Arabidopsis thaliana: one gene and its partners. The protein of the gene in region 3 interacts with the protein of the main gene of each other region in a pairwise test. Each region holds a gene or a part of one and is shown on either strand. Other genes may lie near its edges.

Evidence for each region.
Region 1: the proteins of RAB6A (region 3) and ATGRIP interact in a two-hybrid assay, tested with the Arabidopsis thaliana proteins (one study listed by BioGRID).
Region 2: the proteins of RAB6A (region 3) and POK come close enough for resonance energy transfer, tested with the Arabidopsis thaliana proteins (one study listed by BioGRID).

Annotation. Positions count from the first base shown.
Region 1 is NC_003076.8:26,404,349-26,412,119, reverse strand, and holds ATGRIP (Golgi-localized GRIP domain-containing protein), read left to right. Parts: upstream 1-1,764; 5' UTR 1,765-2,038; intron 2,039-2,175; 5' UTR 2,176-2,231; coding exon 2,232-2,637; intron 2,638-2,726; coding exon 2,727-2,842; intron 2,843-3,019; coding exon 3,020-3,189; intron 3,190-3,300; coding exon 3,301-3,394; intron 3,395-3,552; coding exon 3,553-3,639; intron 3,640-3,739; coding exon 3,740-3,820; intron 3,821-3,945; coding exon 3,946-4,071; intron 4,072-4,397; coding exon 4,398-4,506; intron 4,507-4,598; coding exon 4,599-4,678; intron 4,679-4,870; coding exon 4,871-4,999; intron 5,000-5,086; coding exon 5,087-5,187; intron 5,188-5,358; coding exon 5,359-5,492; intron 5,493-5,577; coding exon 5,578-5,675; intron 5,676-5,735; coding exon 5,736-5,855; intron 5,856-5,984; coding exon 5,985-6,033; intron 6,034-6,145; coding exon 6,146-6,204; intron 6,205-6,349; coding exon 6,350-6,421; coding exon of another isoform or gene 6,422-6,427; exon of another isoform or gene 6,428-6,492; coding exon 6,493-6,540; and 7 more. Other genes in the region: STR16 (sulfurtransferase protein 16), read right to left, coding at 981-1,055, 1,127-1,251, 1,315-1,388, 1,475-1,563; ATSAC1B (Phosphoinositide phosphatase family protein), read left to right, coding at 7,429-7,564, 7,652-7,735. UniProt on the Arabidopsis thaliana protein: Golgi matrix protein playing a role in tethering of vesicles to Golgi membranes and in maintaining the overall structure of the Golgi apparatus.
Region 2 is NC_003070.9:26,861,636-26,869,637, forward strand, and holds the start of POK (Vps52 / Sac2 family), read left to right. Parts: upstream 1-1,951; 5' UTR 1,952-2,100; coding exon 2,101-2,127; intron 2,128-2,227; coding exon 2,228-2,322; intron 2,323-2,422; coding exon 2,423-2,480; intron 2,481-2,652; coding exon 2,653-2,748; intron 2,749-2,884; coding exon 2,885-2,986; intron 2,987-3,141; coding exon 3,142-3,225; intron 3,226-3,311; coding exon 3,312-3,392; intron 3,393-3,789; coding exon 3,790-3,933; intron 3,934-4,333; coding exon 4,334-4,425; intron 4,426-4,712; coding exon 4,713-4,794; intron 4,795-5,077; coding exon 5,078-5,260; intron 5,261-5,726; coding exon 5,727-5,842; intron 5,843-5,931; coding exon 5,932-5,990; intron 5,991-6,230; coding exon 6,231-6,331; intron 6,332-6,703; coding exon 6,704-6,754; intron 6,755-7,004; coding exon 7,005-7,184; intron 7,185-7,274; coding exon 7,275-7,409; intron 7,410-7,560; coding exon 7,561-7,635; intron 7,636-7,736; coding exon 7,737-7,794; intron 7,795-7,877; and 1 more. Other genes in the region: ATWHY2 (WHIRLY 2), read right to left, coding at 214-339, 532-620, 829-902, 986-1,080, 1,169-1,261, 1,355-1,458, 1,533-1,636, 1,725-1,756. UniProt on the Arabidopsis thaliana protein: Acts as a component of the GARP complex that is involved in retrograde transport from early and late endosomes to the trans-Golgi network (TGN). The GARP complex facilitates tethering as well as SNARE complex assembly at the Golgi.
Region 3 is NC_003071.7:18,410,822-18,415,695, forward strand, and holds RAB6A (Ras-related small GTP-binding family protein), read right to left. Parts: upstream 3,333-4,874; 5' UTR 3,063-3,332; coding exon 2,946-3,062; intron 2,401-2,945; coding exon 2,330-2,400; intron 2,233-2,329; coding exon 2,144-2,232; intron 1,971-2,143; coding exon 1,859-1,970; intron 1,475-1,858; coding exon 1,384-1,474; intron 1,104-1,383; coding exon 957-1,103; 3' UTR 603-956; downstream 1-602. Other genes in the region: MTACP-1 (mitochondrial acyl carrier protein 1), read left to right, coding at 3,499-3,690, 4,068-4,244. UniProt on the Arabidopsis thaliana protein: Protein transport. Regulator of membrane traffic from the Golgi apparatus towards the endoplasmic reticulum (ER). Binds GTP and GDP and possesses intrinsic GTPase activity.

The DNA of each region.
Region 1 (7,771 bases), on a different chromosome or scaffold from region 3:
CTAAATGAAATGCATTTCTTTAAGTGTGTATAGTATTTTTATTGAATTGGCGATAAGAAGATTATTTAGGAGAAAGAAACTGAGGGCAGAAGCAGACAAAACGAAAGAGGGACGGTTACATACAGTGGGAAAGAAGAGATGTGGATTGTTGTGCCTTCATAAATGTCTACTTGTGGAAGACTAAGCAGTAAGTTAAAAGAAACGTGAATGATTTCCCCTGAAACGATGGTTACACAACACTCCCTTATTCACTTGGTTTTCGGGTTAAAGTTAGAAAAATAAAAGAGGTGGCCCAGCTTTGGTGCATTGAGAGTAGCAGAGTTATTAAATGCTTCGCAGAATTGCAGTTGCACATTCACTCCCTTCTTCTTCTTAATCTCCTTACAGTTACAGACATTCTCTCACTTGCGTTCTTGTTTCTTTTACAAAACAGATACACTATGTTTCCGAGAGAGTCCCTCTGATATTGGCCTGGTTCACTCAGATTCTCTTTTACTAACTCATCTGATTGAGCCGTGTCAATATCTCAGTCCTCTCTCGTCGCTTCTCTCGTATTTTGAAGTTTGCCTCGTTAGGTCACACCACTTGTTTTGTACACACGATCGAGTTGTTGATATGGTGTTGTTGTCTTTGTGTACTCATCGATCACTCAATATATACACATATATTGTCTGTTGCCAAGAACAGATGGACCTTTAAGGTAACAATCTTGTAGATATAATCGTTGATCGGATGCTCCTTTCTCCTTTCTAATTGATTTTTTTTTTAAACTATATATATAGAGATTTCGATGCAATCAACACACACTCGTATTTTTATATATTTTAAAAAGATGCGATGAGCCCCTCCCTCCAAGCTATCACATCAGACAGCAAAGAGAAAGGAGGGTCATTTATTGATGATTACATGCGGAAAGGATGCATTATTGAAGAAGAAGGAGACGAAGAGATAAGGAAAGATGTTTGGTGAATGGTGAGTCATCAAGCCTTTGTAGGAAGGCCATTCTTGGCCCAGGCACTATAGCCACCGACGATATCTTTGACTCCCGTGAAACCCTGCAAATTCGCAAATTATATATCACCAACAAAGTAAAAGTCAGAAAGAAGAGCTTTGTGGTGGAGCTTACTGCATGGAGAAGATCGGTGGTGGCTTTGATAGATCTACCACCGCTCTGGCAGCCAACAATGATGTTATCGGATTGTCCGAAATGGGAGGAGACTTGTTCCAGGAAGTCGGGGTTCTTTGACATCCCTGTTTCACAATCACAAAATTATATCCATCACTCAGTTATCAACTAACCAAATAAAAACATACCTGATGCTCCTCGATTCATGTAAGGCACGTTGATCGCCCCACAGGCATGTCCCTGGCTGAACTCTTCTGGAGTCCTATATTCATCATCCCCATTACATCAAGATCCTAATGATGCTATGTTGATGATTGAAATAGTCAAAAGAGAAAGGTGGGGCGGTACCTGACGTCTAGATAGCGGTGGCCGGCTAGAAGAAGGTCGTGGGCGACTGTTACCGACACCGATGATGGGACTCTGCTCTCCTCCGCCATTTTTTTCAATGGCTTATTATTATATTTGACTGGACAAAGACTTCAATAATTTCATTTTATATAAATTAGTTGGGAAAGTGATTATAATTGGGCCATATATTACAAATACATAATGGGCCTAAGTTGCTGCTTTATGGGCTAAGCTGTTTTCGGACTGTCCTTCATATTTTCATATTACCATTCCAAAACGGCATCATTTTAGCTAACCTCGTCTTGGGTTTACTTGATGAATTTTCAAAAGGTTTAAGGCTTCTGAATGCAATTATTCATTAGTAAAACACCCTTTACACAATTCTTACCATTCTTCGTCAGTCGATCAGATCAACGTTTTACCGTCTCACTGATCGACGGGAAAGAGACGACGACGTTTTTAACCTTTGGGTTGAGATCCGATCCAATATTTCGAAATCGTGATTCCTTGTTTGTGACCTCTCTCTCTCTGCCTCCACACTCTTCTCTAATCCCTCACCTCAAGGTAAGCTTCTTCTCTGGCACTGATTACATTCAAATCTCTCTTCTCCTTGCGTTGCTTTTGCTGGTTTATTCGAATTTCACGACTTGACTCCTTTCTCTTTTGATTGTTGATTCAAATCCCGATTTTGCGCTTACTAGTTGTCGTCGCTCTCTTGAGTGTCTGGGTTCATCTTTCTGACATCTGCTCTGCCAAGATGTCCGAAGACAAGGAATCTGATGTGGTTGGAGAAGAAGAGGAGAGCCATGTGATCAAAGAAGATAAAGAGTTAAATGATGCCTCCAACGAGACTCTGACAGAAAATGGTGATCAGCTACTCCAAATGATTGCTGAACTGAGATTAGAAAATGACTTTCTCAGATCCCAATTTGAGGGACTCAAGGATGAGGTAGCGCAAGGTAGGTCTCTCCAGAAAGCTGAGCAAGTGGAAGCGGACTCTGCTCAGCTGAAACAACTTCAAGAACAGGTCGCATCATTGAGCAGAGAAATTGATGTGGAAAAACAAACTCGAGTTGCAGCTGAGCAAGCTCTTGAGCATCTAAGGGAAGCATACTCTGAGGCTGATGCTAAATCCCAAGAATACTCCTCTAAGTTTTCCCAAGGTCAGAAGCCATCTTTTCTATTTGCTCATTCATTGACCGGAACCAGTGTTTGCCTTTTCTCAACTTGTGCTATTACATTGTTGGTGTAGTTGAACAGAAACTGGACCAGGAAATCAAAGAGCGCGACGAGAAATATGCCGACCTGGACGCCAAATTCACCAGGCTTCACAAAAGGGCTAAACAACGCATTCAAGAAATCCAAAAGGTGAATGTCTTTCTCTACATTTTATAATGCTTTCTGTTTTAGCCACTTTGAGGCTACTGTGAGTTTCAAAAACCATCTTATACTATTTCGGAATTTCTATGCTGCATTTTCAGACATATAGATTTCGCTGCTATGTGCTGTCTTAATCTCAGTGGTATATTATATTGCTATCTTCAGGAAAAAGATGATCTCGACGCCCGTTTCCGGGAAGTGAATGAAACAGCTGAACGAGCATCTTCTCAACACTCATCCATGCAACAAGAGCTGGAACGCACTAGGCAACAGGCGAATGAAGCACTTAAAGCAATGGATGCGGAGAGGCAACAACTAAGGAGTGCCAATAACAAGTAAATAATTCGAAGATAATTTTTACAGAAATTGTATAAAATGAATGTCGCCTTTCCCACTTCTCCAGCTACCTCTAAGAATTTGAGTACTGGAGTTTTCTCTTTACACAGGCTCAGGGATACTATCGAGGAACTACGTGGCTCATTGCAGCCTAAAGAAAATAAGATTGAGACATTGCAACAGTCACTTCTTGATAAGGACCAGGTTTGATCTCTTTCATTTTCTGTAATACTAGTCTGCAATATATAGAAAAATAGAGAGACAAAAGAGACAGAGAGAGAGAGAGAGAGGGGGGGGGGGGGGGGGGGGGGAGGGATGGCTCTGTATACTCTGCTTCATATGCGTACTTGCTTTAATCCTAGATTCTGGAGGACCTGAAAAAGCAATTACAAGCTGTGGAAGAGAGAAAGCAAATTGCAGTTACTGAGTTGTCAGCCAAGCATCAAAAGGTAGTCAGCATCAGCGATTGTGTTACTTCTTATATGCTATGAGCCACCATTTTCCGCTAATGACATCCAAGGTTTTCTCTTCTCTCCACCTTCTTGACAGAACTTAGAGGGTTTGGAAGCACAGGTCGTAGATGCTCTATCTGAGAGGGACAAAGCAGCCGAAACCATTTCGTCGCTGCAGGTTAGTCTTTTGACTAAATTCTTTAGTTCTATTACTGGATGATGTGCTTTGGTTTTCAAATGAGCGAGAGAGAATAGTTTGAAATAAGTGATAAATTCTTCACACCAAGTATACACCTCTTTTAGGTACTGCTTGCAGAGAAGGAATCTAAAATTGCAGAGATGGAGGCAGCTGCAACTGGCGAAGCAGCAAGGCTAAGGGCTGCTGCAGAAACTCTTAAAGGAGAGCTTGCACACCTTAAATCAGAGAATGTAAGTGGAATGTTTAAAGATGGATTCGCAGGACTCTCTGATGCCAACTGTCATTTGTCCTTCGTTATTGTTGCCCATTCGTATATTCTAAGACATTGTTTTGCATACTACTCGTCAAATGATTTCCATCATTTAGCAGATTTACTAGCATGGTTTTAACCAGGGAATGAATATAGGAGTGCGTATAGATAATTGTAAACATGATCTAAGGCGTCAGTCTGTCATCAGACAGCATGTTTAGAGTTTCTATTTGTTTGGCCATATAAATTCCTCTATTTTCTTTTGTTGTAATTCATAGAAGCCATGATTTTTTTTTGTTCCTTTAGGAAAAGGAAAAGGAGACTTGGGAAGCTTCATGCGATGCCCTTAAATCTAAACTGGAAATCGCTGAAAGCAACTACTTACAGGCCGAAATCGAAGTGGCTAAAATGAGAAGTAATTGACGGAGTTCATAAACGTTGAACTAATCTAGTTATGTTTTACTTTTGTCTATGGACTATAGACATTTCATTCATATAAATTGTCAGGTCAGCTGGGATCTGAAATGTCCATGCAGACCCAGATACTAAGCACAAAAGATGCGGAACTCAAAGGTGCAAGAGAAGAGGTACATAGTTTTCTTTTGGTTCTTTTGGAAACTATTGTAGCCTTGGTTAGGTGAACGAATTTATTAGTCATCCATTCTTAATCACATAACGTGAATTATTATGGAATCAAAGAGCCATTTTGAGCTTTAAGGAATGTTCTGCTTTAGCTAGTCTTCATTTAACCATATTGAATTCCTTGTAACTGTTCACAGATCAACCGGCTCCAAAGTGAATTCTCTTCTTACAAGATCCGTGCTCACGCGCTTTTGCAAAAGAAGGACATGGAGCTGGCTGCAGCTAAAGACTCTGAACAAATTAAATCTCTTGAGGAAGCTCTAAAGGTAAGTTATCTAGAATCTTAAGATGGAGATATTTTTAGATGGTTGCCAAGGTGCTTACCAACTAATTATCTTTTTGGGTGGTGTTAGGAAGCTGAAAAAGAAGTATATTTGGTATCTGCAGAGAGGGATAGGGCACAGCAAGATCTTCAGAGTGCTTTGGCTAGCCTTGAGAAAGAACTTGAAGAGAGGTATATATTGACACTGAATCTTTTTCATGTTTGATTCCGGAGGTTGGCTGCTCATTCTCCTCAATTTGCCAGAGAAAACAACTGAGAAATGGTGTTCTCAGGGGACTGGTTATGGAGTTCTTCAGACATATATTGGTCGTCTGAGCTATTTTTGTTTCATATATATTTCAGAGCTGGAGCACTTAAAGATGCCAGCGAGCAGATCAAAAGTCTTGAAGTGAAGCTTGACTCCACTGTTGCTCGCAATCAGGCGGAGAAACAAGCTTGGGAAGAAGACCTTCGGGTTTTAGAAGAAACATGGCGACGTAATTGATTCAAATCTAAATTCGGTTTTTTCATTAGTTCTTGGAAATTGAAATTCCCTTCCTAAAAGGCTACAGTAATCTATAGGAAGATGTGAAGCTTTGACCGCTCAAAATGAAGCCTCACCTGCAGAAGGTATAGAAAAAGAACTAGAAAATGCCAAACTGCGGAATAAACGAATGAAGGTAAATCACTTTTTGTTATACTCATAAAAAAGTTTTTTTGTCTAACTGACATACCTGCAGGAGGAGCATGAATCAGTACGTGAGCTTGCAGATAGACTCATTGAGGAGAAGGATCGAGAGATATCGAGACTTGTGGATGAGATGACAAATCTTCGAAAATCTATGGAGTCAAAACCAGTAGTATGTGGATGGTTCTTTTTTTTTTTTTTTTTGCTTATTACCTTACTTCTCCTTTTTATCTTTGGTTTTACGCTAGTAACTTTTCATTTAATTTGCACTGAAACTTTTCACTCTTCATGTGGCATTAAGTGGAACAAATCTCCATCCCAGGTTCACCACTATGGGAACAACAACACAGGTACAAGATGTTTTCCTGATACCATATTTTTTTAATAAGGGCTCCCTATATGAATGAATCAGTGGGTTCCCTGTCATCAATAACCTATTATTTTCTTTAAACGGGGTTTCAGAGTCACAACAGCAGGATGTATCTAACTTGAGCACTTCTGCAGCAGAGCACCAGATTCTGGTAGGATTTTGTAATGTTAGCTGTCTGCTTGTGTGAGCAAGGAGCGATCTTTAATCCTAGAACTTAATTTCCTTCAAATGTAATGCTATGGCCTACGGGACAAATCAGTGAGAGCTAATCATGACACATAATAATCAAATTTCAGATATTGGCAAGGCAACAAGCTCAGAGAGAAGAAGAGTTAGCACAGACACAGCGCCATATTTTAGCTCTTCAGGTGTAGTAGAATTGGTTGCATTGATCTGTTTCTGCACATGTTGCAATTAGTAACTGTTTATTCTGAATCAGGAGGAAATCGAGGAGCTTGAACGAGAAAACCGTCTTCACAGTCAACAGGTATGTGATTACACGAGAGTTTGGTTGCTTTGCCAGTTTCTTAGGATCTTATTTCAAACTTCCGGTGGTATGCTAAATTACAGGAAGCAGTGCTAAAGACGGAGTTGAGGGAGATGGAAAGAAAACAGAAGAGAGAAGGCGTGGATATGACATACCTAAAGAATGTGATATTAAAACTGCTAGAAACAGGTTAAAAAACCTGGAGATTAAAGGTGGATTCACGAAGTAGATGTTTTAGGGGTAAATTAACTTGTGATAATTGCAGGTGAAGTGGAGGCTTTACTACCTGTAGTGGGGATGTTGCTGCAGTTCAGTCCAGAGGAGATCCAGAAGTGTCAGCAAGCCTACCATAGCTCAACAACAGCGGCAACAACAACAGAGGCGACTCCAAGTCCGGCAAGTGAGGGTTCAGGTCTATCAGTCTTCTCAAGATTCTCGTTTTCATAGTCGGGTGGGCACTGGACACATTCTTTTGGGCCAAGATACATACACATACATACGACATTGTGTTTAAGTCCTTCGTTTTTGTGTAATGAACACTAAAAGTCAAGAAAACACTTTTTGTCCAGATGTAAAGAAAGGATAAGCCACTGAATTGAGTTGTTGGGCCATTTTTAATGGAGTCTATTGTAATCATGCAGAAAACCGCTGATTATCGGAATTAATGAAACTAAAAAAGTCAACGCAAAATTAACTACAAAGATAGTATAATAATAACGGTCGTCGACTTGTTGTTATTGGTCAACCGTTATGTACGGAATCAATTTGAACGGGTCTCACTCTCACTGCCTTGAAGGCCATTTTAATTGAGCGGAATTCATTTCGCCTACTAGTTTCAAATCTCGTAACGAAGAAGGTGATTGGTTCTTCTTCCTCTTGCTGGAAGCCATGGTGAGTAGGCTCAAGATACACTCTGGCTTGCGTTTGTGGGAATTCCCTGATCAGTACGTCATCGAGCCAACCGATGGTTCCTCCGCTTCATGTTTGGATATTAGTCGTCTTGACGGCTCCATGAAGCTCATTGGTGTGTTTCCTGTTTTTGCCTCGTTATATTGGAATCTTTTTGTTCTCTTATGCATGTATGTGTAATGCATCCTCTTGCCTGTCTCAGATCAAGTAGCAGAATGCAACTCTTTGCGTGTCCCTAAAATCCGCTCCATTTTCGGTGTGGTTGGGATGCTGAAGCTCCTGGCAGGTGAAATTTCAGAGATCCTATCGAATAATTAATCTA
Region 2 (8,002 bases), on a different chromosome or scaffold from region 3:
ATCTATCTATGAGTATCGAGTATCAAGTTGAAACCAAAATGCTTGTACTAAATAACATATGTGCTAATGAAAACAAGAAGACCCATGATTTAGAAGTCTTAGAGAGGACATATTAGTTTCAAAACAGAGCATGCCGAGTTTCGTGTGCACCAAATGCCAGAAAAAAGAACACATGCATTTTCAATTTACTCCGTTCCTACTACTCTCATCATTTCATTTATCCCACTCCAGCTCTAACTGTGGTTCAGTCTTTAGATGAGAAACATTCCTCGACGGCAGAGCTTCAGTATTAACGTGACCAGTTAACCGATTCCAACCCATGATGTGTGGAAGAGCAAACTGCACAAAATACAAAATCTGGTTAAAAAACAATCACCAATATCCCTTGAAGAATATATACTTGATCCAGATTCATGTGCTAAAACTGACAGAGAAGCAATGCCCTTGGTTTTTCTAGTCAATGTTTTTGGTTCTCGAACTGATATAATAGTAACAGAATATAGAGAACGCAGAATAAAAATCTTATCTTACACTAAAAGCTGTCTTCATCACTGCAAATTCAGCTTTTGTGACAGGAACCACAAAATAGTCATTGGTTTTGAGGATGCTATTGTTAACGCCTGCAACAAAACCGCAGAAGGTAAGTGTTTATACAGCATTAAGAATTCAGCATTCCTATTGTTATAAGACAGCTATTCTGTGCGAAAACTGTTATCGCCATATTACAAAACTAATACAAGTGCAAGCTTCTAAATTTACTAAACAGAAAGCTCCCATAACTAAGTATTTCAGTACTGATTATCCATGTTAATTTGATAGAAGCCTTACTCAATGAGATGAAGTAGCCGCTACCATCTGCGTGGGGCTTAACTGACAGTGACTTCCTGACTTGACCAGCATTACTGAGGAGTCAAAGACAAGTCTATGTCAGAACATGAAAATGCTGCGATAAAAATATAATGTATTGAAGCAAAAAAAGACAAACCTTGATTTCATGGAAGGGTCATGGAAAAACTCGGAGCTGTCTTTGGAACCCATGCTAATTAAGGATCCAACTTCAGTAGGTGACAAAGCAAATTTCTGCAATAATGTAGGAAACAAACCAAATTTATCAGAGGAGAAAGAAGAGACAAGTGAAGAAGATAGAGAGTGTGAAAAAGATCAATACCTGTTTCTTTTCCCAGTCGTACTTACGCTCACCAATAGCAGGCATAAAAGTCATCATTAAGGATCCACGACGATCTATCCGAAGATTTCCCGACTAAACAATTGTACTCACAGTAAGTAATGAGAATCTAAAAGAAGCCTTTAAAGAGAACACACAAAACTAAAAAGAAATGGATTTTGGGCTTACATCGATTTCAGTGAAACTGGGAAGAACAGGTTCAACAGAGAGAGCAGCTTTTCCTTTGAAGATAGAATAAGGTGCGAACAATCGACCACTAGGCTTTGCGGCATCTTCTCAAATCAAGCAAACAAAATTAGGGCAAGTACACTTAAACTGACGAAACGGAAACAAACCAAGTTCTTACCTTTACCAGGGAATCCACGTCCAGGGGTTGAAGAATTTGACCAGCTTGCAAAACCACGCAACGTCGAAGCTTCGAAAAGTGACTTACTTTGGTCACAAAGGCTCCTGCTTTAACAAAAACAAACCAACCCAGAGAAGCCATTTTAAGAGTAATGAAATCTAAAATCTGAATTTTGAGAGGAACTGAAGTAACCTGGAGAGCAAAGAGCGGGCTTGCTTCATCATCTTCTTCTGTCTCGAGTAAAAAGCATCACTTGAGGTCTTCCGACTTCTGAGGTTTTATGATTTATCAAAACGGGTTTTATCGGGCGACCCATATTTTAACCCGTTTGTTTTATATATAAGTCTTTTAACGGCCCAATGGGCCTTTATTGTTGATTGGGAAATTAAAAATCAGATTAGAGAAGACGAACGAATCTGAGAAAGGTGAAGCTGAAGAAGAAGAAGAAGAAGAAGAAGAAGAAGAAGAAGAAGAAGAAGACTCTCTAATGGCGGACTCAAACTGATTTCGAGGATTCTGATTTCGTTTTCTAGTTGAAGATCTTTCAACTCTTAATCTCATTAGGAAGATGTCCGACATTTCCATTGACGCATTGGTACTTCATTTTTTTTGCATTCGTGATCTTCTAGCCTTAATCATGGATCCTTTATGATCTCTTGTCTAATTCGCTTTGCTCTTCTATCTGAAATTCATAGGGCCAAACTATGGGGGACTTTAGTAATCATGAGAAACTTGGATTTGATTTAGGAGCATTTGTTGGAGACTTGGCTTTTGAAGAAGATTCAGGCAGGTAACGTTCTCATGTTTTGTATCTTAATTCGACTATAACATATGTTTCTGCTTCTCTTTGTTCTTCTGATTAGAATGCTCTCCTTTGATTTGTTTGGCAGTGAGGATATTTCATTGGAAGGGCTTCAACAAGAACTTGAAGAATGTGAAAGTGATGAGGTAAGTTATTCACTTAACTGAGATCAAACTTATAAAGCTAGCACCTCGGTTCTTCTTTTTCGAAGTATTGTTTCTACTCTCATTTGAGTTACTTTGGAGTACATGGATTGATCATAGAATGTTAGATCCATGGATATGATGTCCTTTCTATCTTGTTTGTGTGAAATGTCAGGTTGTTGCCAATATACTGTCTAGTGGTGACAAACTTAGAGAATATGCAAAAGGGGTTGAAAACAATCTACGCAAGGTTGAATTGGATTCAATCGAGGTTGTTATTCTCTACCTGTGCTACATTGTGGCACTTGTTGTTTTCTACTTTTTATGTACTTCCGTCTATAAGTTCGGGAATTTCTTTGATATCGTAAGTAACTAACTTAAATGCTTTACATTCCATGAATACTCAGGATTACATAAAGGAAAGTGACAACCTAGTCTCACTTCACGATCAGATTCGTGACTGTGACAGCATCCTGTCACAAATGGAAACTCTTCTCAGTGGATTTCAGGTATTTGAAAATTAGACATTTATATAATTTGTGTGTATGTATGTGCTTCTTTCTCCTTATTCTGACTTTTGCTTAATGGGAGGAATTTTTTTACTTTGAAATACATATATTTTTTCCTGGTAATCTAAATGTGCACTTTGCTTCTTTTCTTTCAGGAAGAGATTGGTTCTATAAGTTCAGACATAAAGATTCTTCAAGAAAAGTCAATGGACATGGGTTTGAGATTGAAAAACCGCAGGGTATAGCTAATCAGAAACCACTATTGGTATTATCTCTTGCTGCTTTCACTCGTGACTCATCCAAATGAACTCTTCTATTTGAATAGGTGGCTGAATCAAAGCTAGCAAAATTTGTCGAAGACATTATAGTGCCACCAAAGATGATAGATGTAATTGTTGACGGAGAGGTATTTTTCAAATTCACTTTTTATGTAGCTTTGGTAGGGTTGGAGATTTGTAGGAATTTTGTAGGATCTCGTCATGTTGTATACATGTCTAATTTTTCTTTTTGTTTCTGGTGCTATAAGAATTACTGATTTGGTGCATATGTTGTAATCTGAAACATGGAGGAAAAATAGAAAAACAACATTTTCTGGTTAAGCTTGGTATATGCTTCCCCTATGTGCAATACTAAAATTTATTAAATTTTCTTCATTTTGTTTTCTTACACCATTTAGTCCTATCTTTATGTCCCCTGAGTACGTGTTTTTTTTGTAAAACCATAGTGGTGCATTTAAGCCTAGGTTGGATTGCTGAGGGTATTTTTATTGCTAATCTGATAGTCGTATTATTTTCCTTATTCAGGTGAATGAAGAGTATATGAAAACGCTTGAAATTCTGAGTAAGAAGCTAAAATTTGTAGAAGCAGATCAGGCAGTTAAAAGTTCCAAAGCGTTAAAAGATGTAGAGCCTGAGCTCGAAAAGCTTCGGCAGAAAGCTATTTCCAAGGTTATTGATCTACTTTCTCTGTTACTTGATACCAAAAACTTATATATTTCGCTGAAGGGAGTGTGATAGGTCCAAACATAACTGTACCTATTGACTCTCAAAACACACTGATACATGCATATTTCTTAAAGTTGTTAATTGTTTGATAAAAAACTACAGAAAAGTTAAGTTCCTGATATAACTCAACTTATTCTACCTCAATGAGATGAATCATTGTTCCTTCCCTCTGAAAGAATTTATGGCCAGGAAAAAGTTGCCATCTGCGATAAATTCAACTTTTAGTTCTGTATTAAGTCATTTGTGTTTGTTCTCGTCCAATGCTGAAAGGGCATGCACGACTGCACGTCGATGGAGCATTCTAAATTTGTTCTCATGCAATAGATTTAAATTCGTTTTGCAGGTGTATGATTTTATTGTCCAGAAGCTTATAGCCCTGAGGAAACCCAAAACAAACATTCAGATTCTTCAACAGAGTGTGTTATTAAAGTACAAGTGAGTTATGCTCTCCAAGCCCCTTTAATTGGTTTTGACGTAGTGAAACTACAAATTGTACAACGTCTCCTGTCTTGCATGTATGTTTCTGTTAACTTTTTCTGCATGTGTATGTGGTCATCACCTTACAAACGTTTTGGTTAGTTATCTTGGTTTGGATTTTCCCTTTGTGATGTTGACGGAGTTGTTTTATTTTACATGTTACTGATATCCAACTTGATATTATATTGCTTCTACAAGACTTATGTGGATACATACTTCATTCACCAATTACAATTTAATGATAGGTATATTATCTCCTTCCTCAAGGAACATGGAAAAGAAGTGTTTATGGATGTTCGTGCTGCATACATTGATACCATGAACAAGGTGATATTCTTTATCTTGTTTGATTTCTTACACTATGCTGCAACTCCTTTATATAGTCTTAGTTGAATGAGGAAGAATACACAGATAGATTTGACTAAGGTTATTCTCCGCATATGCAAGGTAGTGGATACAACATCCAATTGTACGTTACATGCAAGTAATTCTTCTATTCTTGTTTTCTAACTATAATTGGACAAAGCTAGTTGGTTAGATAAAAATGCTGTTTGCTAGCTTAGGCTTTTAAATGTTATTACACCTTATGTATTGTATGATCTTGTTTCAGGTGTTAAGTGCACATTTTCGTGCTTATATTCAAGCACTTGAGAAACTACAGTTAGATATAGCCACAGCATATGACTTAATTGGGGTAGAGACCAGAACCACCGGCCTCTTCTCAAGAGCTAGGGAGCCACTAAAGAACCGCTCTGCCGTTTTTGCTTTGGGTGACAGGATAAAAATTATAAAGGTATGCATCATTCAGCAGTTATCATTTTTTGATTGATTTTTTCGACCATTCTACATGCTCTGGCGAATTTGTTATATAAAATGAGTTGCTCTTCTGACTCTTTAATACAAAAGATGGTACTAGGTCTGCGTCTTTACAAATAAAGTATAAGTTATATTAATGTATTGTACACCATAAGTTTTATTGAGGAGTGCCCACTTTGGTTTTGGTTCAGATATTTTAGTCTTAGGTTATAAATTATAGGAATCAAATATTTTGGTTCATTTCAGTTTTGGTTTTTACGATATGTATCCTTAATTTTAAAGGCTCCTCAAATAGATGGAAGTTTCGATTTGTTTTTCTCATTTTCAATTTGGATTAGTGTGGTATCAATTTGTTTTTTTTTGCTATAGAAGAAGTAAATCCAAAGTTTGTTTGGTTTAACAATATTCGTTAAAAGACTTAAGTTTCAGTATGACCGCTGTAGGATATTGATCAACCTGCTTTGATCCCGCACATAGCCGAAGCCAGCTCTCTCAAATATCCTTATGAAGTGCTCTTCAGGAGCCTGCACAAGCTACTTATGGATACAGCTACTTCTGAGTTCTGTTGATTTTTCCCCTTTTATATTTGTGTTATTGTCGCTCATCGCTCAACCCCCTGGTTAACGTCATTTGTTTTCATTTTAACAGGTATATGTTTTGTGATGATTTCTTTGGTGAAGAGTCCATATTCTATGAAATTTTTGCGGGTAATTTCTAATCTGTCTCCCTTCCTTTTGCTGTACCAAACTTTGTGGATTTTGTTAGCTGTGTAGAAGAACATCTGTTTTTCCTGTAATACTGGTATACCAAATTTGATATGGTGTTGAGCAGCGTGTAAGAAATTATCTTCTCTTCTTCCGGATAGAAAGCTGAACCTCTTGTACTTTACAATGGATATGATAATTGTAGCAGTTTTTTGGATAAATTCTAAAATTTAAATGATACAGGTCCATTTTCTGTCATCGATGAGCACTTCAATCCCGTTCTTTCAAACTGTTTTGATGCTATTGGCCTGATGCTTATGATTCGCATAATACACCACCACCAGGTATTAACGATGACCTAACTACTAGTTTATCTGCGTTTTGGTGAATATCTTGGAATTAGGTAATTTATTTAGCTTCTTCCCTTTTGAACTTTTCTAGTCTCCCACATATGTGAGAATGCATTGAAGTATGGTTAGATATTTATCAACTTGGCATTGGAAAGAGTTCTCTTAATATCTTGCAAACTAACGATGTAGATATACCTTCAACTGGTCCACATAGGCGTATTACAACCAGTCTATATTTTTTCTCAACAGTATGATAATCTAGTGTAGCTTATATTACTTATTTTCATGATCCAGCCTTTTGCAAGGGTCATGATGGTATTATATGTCCACTAATAGTTAAGCAATACTTTCCCACCTTTTTTACAGCTTATCATGTCTCGCCGGAGAATTCCATGCCTGGACTCATATCTGGACAAGGTTCATACCTCTCTATCTCTTTTATTATGTTTGATCAACATTTAAATATGTATGGTGCAATAAAAAGAGTTCATTATTATTGTGCTCATCTTCAGCTGTTTTCACTTGGTCGCTAAATGTTTTCTTTTTGGTATAACTTTGAAGGTCTTGTATAGATCTTAGATATAAGCTTATAGATGCGGCTATGGTTTGATTTCCTTAGGTTTCATAGTCCTCTCTCAATGAATCTTTTATTTTGGAAATTGAGCAGGTTAATATTTCTTTGTGGCCTCGTTTCAAGATGGTGTTTGACTCACACCTTAGCAGTCTGAGAGATGCAAACATTAAGACATTATGGGAAGATGATGTTCATCCTCACTATGTCATGAGGCGTTATGCTGAATTCACGGCTTCGTTTATTCACCTAAACGTTGAATATGGAGATGGGCAGGTTCGTTATAAGATTGCTTCTGTCTCTAGTGATATGTATTACCTGTTCTCATCACTCAAATCGCTTGACACTATATATGAACCGCTGCAGCTTGATATAAATCTGGAGCGGTTAAGAATGGCTGTAGATGGGTTGATTCTCAAGCTTGCAAAGTTGTTCCCAAGGCCAAAGCAGCAAATTGTGTTTCTCATAAATAACTACGATATGACAATCGCTGTACTGAAGGTGAGTTGAATCCTTGGCCGTCTCATGTTAAGTGCACCCATGTGGACCAGTGTTTTCTTGGTTTGAAATGGCTTTCTACGAATCTCAAGGCTTAACTAATTGAGTCTGACCTACCAAAAGAATCTGTTTTGATCATCTTCCTGTATTTTAGGAAGCTGGACCAGAAGGTGGGAAAATTCAAATGCATTTTGAGGAAATGCTAAAGAGTAACACTTCATTATTTGTGGTAAGGGGCAAATACTAGGTTACCTTTGTAATTTGCTTCATGGGTATAACATAAAACTGTCTTTGTAGTAGCCTAACCTTAAATCTGATGTTAACTCGTAGGAAGAACTGCTGGTGGAGCATTTCAGTGATTTGATCAAATTCGTGAAAAATCGAGCTTGTAAGCAACTTGTTTCTTTCTTTTCTTCACGTACTCATCGAGTGTTAAGTTGAAAAACCACTAAACTGTAAGATATGTGGCAGCTGAGGATTCGAGCTTAAATCCAGAGAGGTCCATTACAATTGCTGAAGTAGAGCCACTGGTGAAGGACTTTGGAAGCAGATGGAAGACAGCGATTGAGTTGATGGACAAAGACATCATAACTTCC
Region 3 (4,874 bases):
TTGCGAATTATGCGTTTGATGAGTTAGTGGGAAAATTCAAATAAAGCACAAGTGTTATGTAATTTTTAGCTATTAGTTGGTACTATGTATGAGGATTTGATTGATGACAATATAATTATGAAATATAGTGTCATTAAAATTTTCAAATAGCTTGGTTGGACTATTCAAAAATATGACAATACTTTTCAGCTGCAATGAAAGAAAAACAATCGTACAAGTTTCTGTTTTTTTTTTTCTTTTTCAAAAGGATATGTCATAAATTCATAATAAGTAATTACAAAAAAACTCATTCCACTAACTTAGTTCCATAAAATCGTTACGAGTGATTATTGCTGATTAAGTGAGTATACACATTATTTGGGATAGAATTGCTGAGTATACTCCAACTGCATTAACCCACCAGAGCTTTTTACGATGAGAGAAGCTTAATTTTAGGGACATGGTGGAACTGGAGAAAAATACCTGGGAACAGTGTGAGACTTTGAATTTAATTAGCTCATTTAAGTGATCTGAACTAACGACATGTGTACGAAATTAATTATCTGTTTCTTTATGGGTCAAAGATTAAAAATGCTGTGCTTCTTTCTCTATCAGACTATCACATGGAAAGACGAAACGAAATGAGAGTTTTTATTACCTAGCAGCTCACAGTTATACATAATTAAATTCATAGACCGACAAATCACAGTTTTGAGAAATAAGTAAACAAAAGTACTGAAGCAGCGAGCATTTGAAACTCCAAAGACCACAAAAGATCACAGTTAGGGACAAACCATAGCTAAAACAGAGTCTTCTTTAAAAACAATCCGATGAAGAAAAAAAGTTGAAAAACAGGCAAAAATTTTACAGATGGAAGACGATAACTGATCGAATCATGCAAAGGGGCTTGAGGACATTTTTTAGTAGTGTGTTTTGTTGTTCTCTATCGATTTGTTGTTGTGTTGTTGTTGCCAAATCTAACAAGAGCATCCTCCTGATTGCTGCTGAGCGAGAGATGCATTTGCATTGGAAGACTTGAGATTGACATCAACCATATCCTCTTGCTTTGTTGAAGACAATGTCTCCATTCCCGGCAAAGCTGCTGCTATCTTGCGGAAGAGCGCCTAGCAATACAAAAAGGTTTGAAATCATAAGAAAACAAGATTTGCACGGAGTGATAGCGTTATGGATTTGCGGTAATTGTTTAGAGAGTATCAGTGAAAGATCCATACAAATGAGGAGGATGTAATAATCAGCAGGTTGGGTTAAAAATTTATAAGTCTAGGTTAATTAACTATTGAATATTGATGGAACTAAACAAAGTTAGGGCTTAGTTGAACTAAGCAGCAAGTTTTTGTTGTGCAAGAAACCCTCAGAAATGTGTCAAGCCAAGATCTTTGTTACCTTAATGTTGAAGCCCGCTTTGGCACTGGTTTCGATGAACATTACATTAAGTTCGCGTGCCTTAGCTTCTGCTTCCTCTATTGACACTTGCCTGAGAAACAAAATATTTAATACAAAGGCCCAATTGGCAGTAACAAATGTAGTAGGCACCATCAAGTGTCAAAGCGTGTTGACTATAAAGAAACCCTGTAAAGATATGCAGTTGAGCAGCAAATGATTTTCCATTTATTATCTTGTAGGGTCGTTTGGCAACATACTCAATACCACCAGAAAAGTAAGACGTGGTTTAACAACAGTTTGTACTTGAGTAAAACAAAAAAGACACCCATTCGTCTTGTCAACATACTTACGAAATCAGAGCGTGTTTAAACAAGGAGGACTACCAAATTTCAGTCTCAATTGCTATTGAACAGTAATTTGCACATCATGGTTTAACAAGAAACAAGTAGAGGAAGAGATGGTAGATCATTATTACCTTTTGTCCACTAGATCAGTTTTGTTTCCCACAAGCACGACTATGACATCACTACCACGTTCTGTCCTAACCTCATCGATCCACTTAGTAGTGTTTAGGAAGGACTGCCTGCCTATATGTCAGTGGAAAACAAAATAAATCTCGAGTTTCACAACGCACAATGGATCAACATAAAGAAGAAATCGAAACGCATAAATTCATAAGATTACTGAAAACCACATCCCCAAGATCTCAGATATGGGAAAATATTCATGTGTTTGAGAGAACGAGTGAAGGTACACATACTTGCAACATCATACACAATAACAGCAACGGAGGAATCCCTGATATAGCTCGGAATTAGACTCCTGAATCGCTCTTGCCCAGCTGTATCCCTGTCATATGATTTCGGCTCTCGATGTTAATCATCAAAAAATGATCTGCAATGTTATTCTTCAGTATTCGAAAATTGAAAGAGGCTCAAGATCTTACCACAACTGAAGTCTGACCGTTCGATCTTCAAGGTACATTGTCTTTGATAGAAAATCAATACCAATTGTGGCCTGATGATTATGAAACAACATAAAAACTACTTAGAAAAGGAAGAACATTCTGTAAAATGACGATAAGCAAGCATGGTTCACATATTATTAGGAGCTTAAACGTAATTCTCATAATCACAGAACAAGATCAGATGCTTTCATTCATCAATTGAGAACTAATTCGATTAGATAAACAATGATAACATGATCAAAGAAACATCCTCATATTAGTGTTACTGCGATCTTCTATTGGACTGAATTCTCGACTTTGTACAATAAACGAGAGTGAGCGATTACGATGCCAAAATCTCATTCAGCTGATTGTTACGTCCTATACATTGACTAAAACACGATCTACAAATCAGATCACACATAATTACGCAAAACCAAACGCCCGATCACGTAAACGAGTAAGAACTTCGAACTGAAAAACACGATTCCCGTCCATGAAAACGGATCTCAAAATCAATCAAACCCTGGGATTTTCCCGACTATAATCCCTCAAAATAGAAGCAAACGTCGTGCATCGTCGAGATAATACCTAGATTTGAACAATGGAAATTTACCTGGTAAGTGTTGTCGAATTTGTCGTACATGAATCGAGTAATGATACTGGTTTTGCCGACGGATTGATCTCCCAGAAACACCAGCTTATACTTAGCGAGTGCCGAGACCGGAGCCATGATTTCTCAAGGATCTAACTCGCCGGACGGATCTGAGAAACGTCGAGATCTCGCTTTGCTGAGAATAAAAGTTTCCGATATTTACCGGAGAGAGATCCCGTCGCTCTGGAATTGCAAATACTGTATTAGTGAGAGTTTGTTATTCGTAAATTGCAGTTTATTCCTCGAGTGACCCAATTGGGTCATTTATGTTAAATTAGAAACTATTTGAGATAAGTTACAAAATATATAAAAACTTAGAAGCTGATTAAGGAATTTACTACATTATGGGCAGCATTTATAAGCCCACGTAAGGATTTGGGCTAGCCTTATAGTAGGGGGCACGTGTCATCTCGTATGACCTGAACTATTTTTGCCCCTTTTGGCTACTTGACTCTTCTGTGTCTCTCTCATCAAATCAAATCCCTAATTCTCGAGCTCGAAGAAAGAGACGAAAATGGCACTGAGAAATGCAATTCTTCGTCACCTGAGGGTTCCGGTGCAAACCCTAGGATTGAATCAGTCTAAAATTGGGTTCCTTGGTACGATCCGGTCATTTTCTTCGCACGATGATCATCTTAGCAGAGAAGCTGTCGTCGATAGAGTACTCGATGTTGTCAAGAGCTTCCCCAAAGTCGATCCCTCTAAGGTCAGCTCGATCTTCATAAAATTTGGCCAAATCGTGATTCTTATCTTTTGTTTTCCTCATTATTGGGAACAAAATGATTATTTTGCCTTGAATATTTGTCAATGTAGGAGCTTTTGGTTGATTTCGTATTGATCTAGTGGAAATAGAGACCAAATGTATCTGAAACGATGTTGCATTAGTGTTGTTAGTAAATTGAAGGTTATTGATCTCAATGTGGTTTAGTAAGTGTAGCTTATCGTGTTGTTGTTCCTATGGATTTGATTTGATATGGTCATTCTTATGGATTTTGCATTTATGAATCCTTCATCAACTCTCTCTAATAAGGGTTGTTTGGTTAGGGTTATTTTTGTTGATGGCTTTGTGATAAATATCGACAGGTGACTCCTGAGGTTCATTTCCAAAACGATTTGGGATTAGATAGTTTGGACACAGTGGAGATAGTGATGGCTATTGAAGAGGAATTCAAGCTGGAAATTCCAGACAAAGAAGCTGACAAGATCGATTCTTGCTCTCTCGCCATTGAATACGTTTACAATCATCCAATGTCTAGCTAATCGCTGTGTGCTCTCTCATGGTTTCTCCTTCCTTTTTCTTGTATGAGGTTCTTCTCTCTTTGATAATGCCATAATGGGATTTGCAAAAAAATCACTTTTATTTGGAGAGCATTGTTATTGACTCTTTTAACGGTTCCAGTTTCTTAAAAAGAAAACCTTTTTGCTTGAATCTTGTGAAAGTTGACACTTTTTCTTGAGTTAATACTTTAATACGATTTGTATATAATACACTTGATTCTTAGCATGGTCTTGATCATACATTGAAGACGAATCTTTGAAAAACATACTTGTTTTAAAAAACTGATCGTCTCTCTTGGATACATATGCAAGACCAAGAAATTGGATCTTATATACTACATTACATCATAACGTGCTATTAACTAGAATTGTTTGTCAGCCATCTTTTGGATCGAATACAGACAGTAGTTTTCATTTGGACAAGTTTTCTGCTTCATCTCAACTACAGCATTTGTACCAAAATACACCAATATCTCTATCCACAAGTTAGATGTTTTAATTAGGAGATACATTTCAGGTTTCGTTTGAATCGATTTTTTAGTAAATGGGACAAAATGGGTGAACTTACAATATTAAAAACTTGCTAAGCTAATTATGCAAAATGGATAGGGT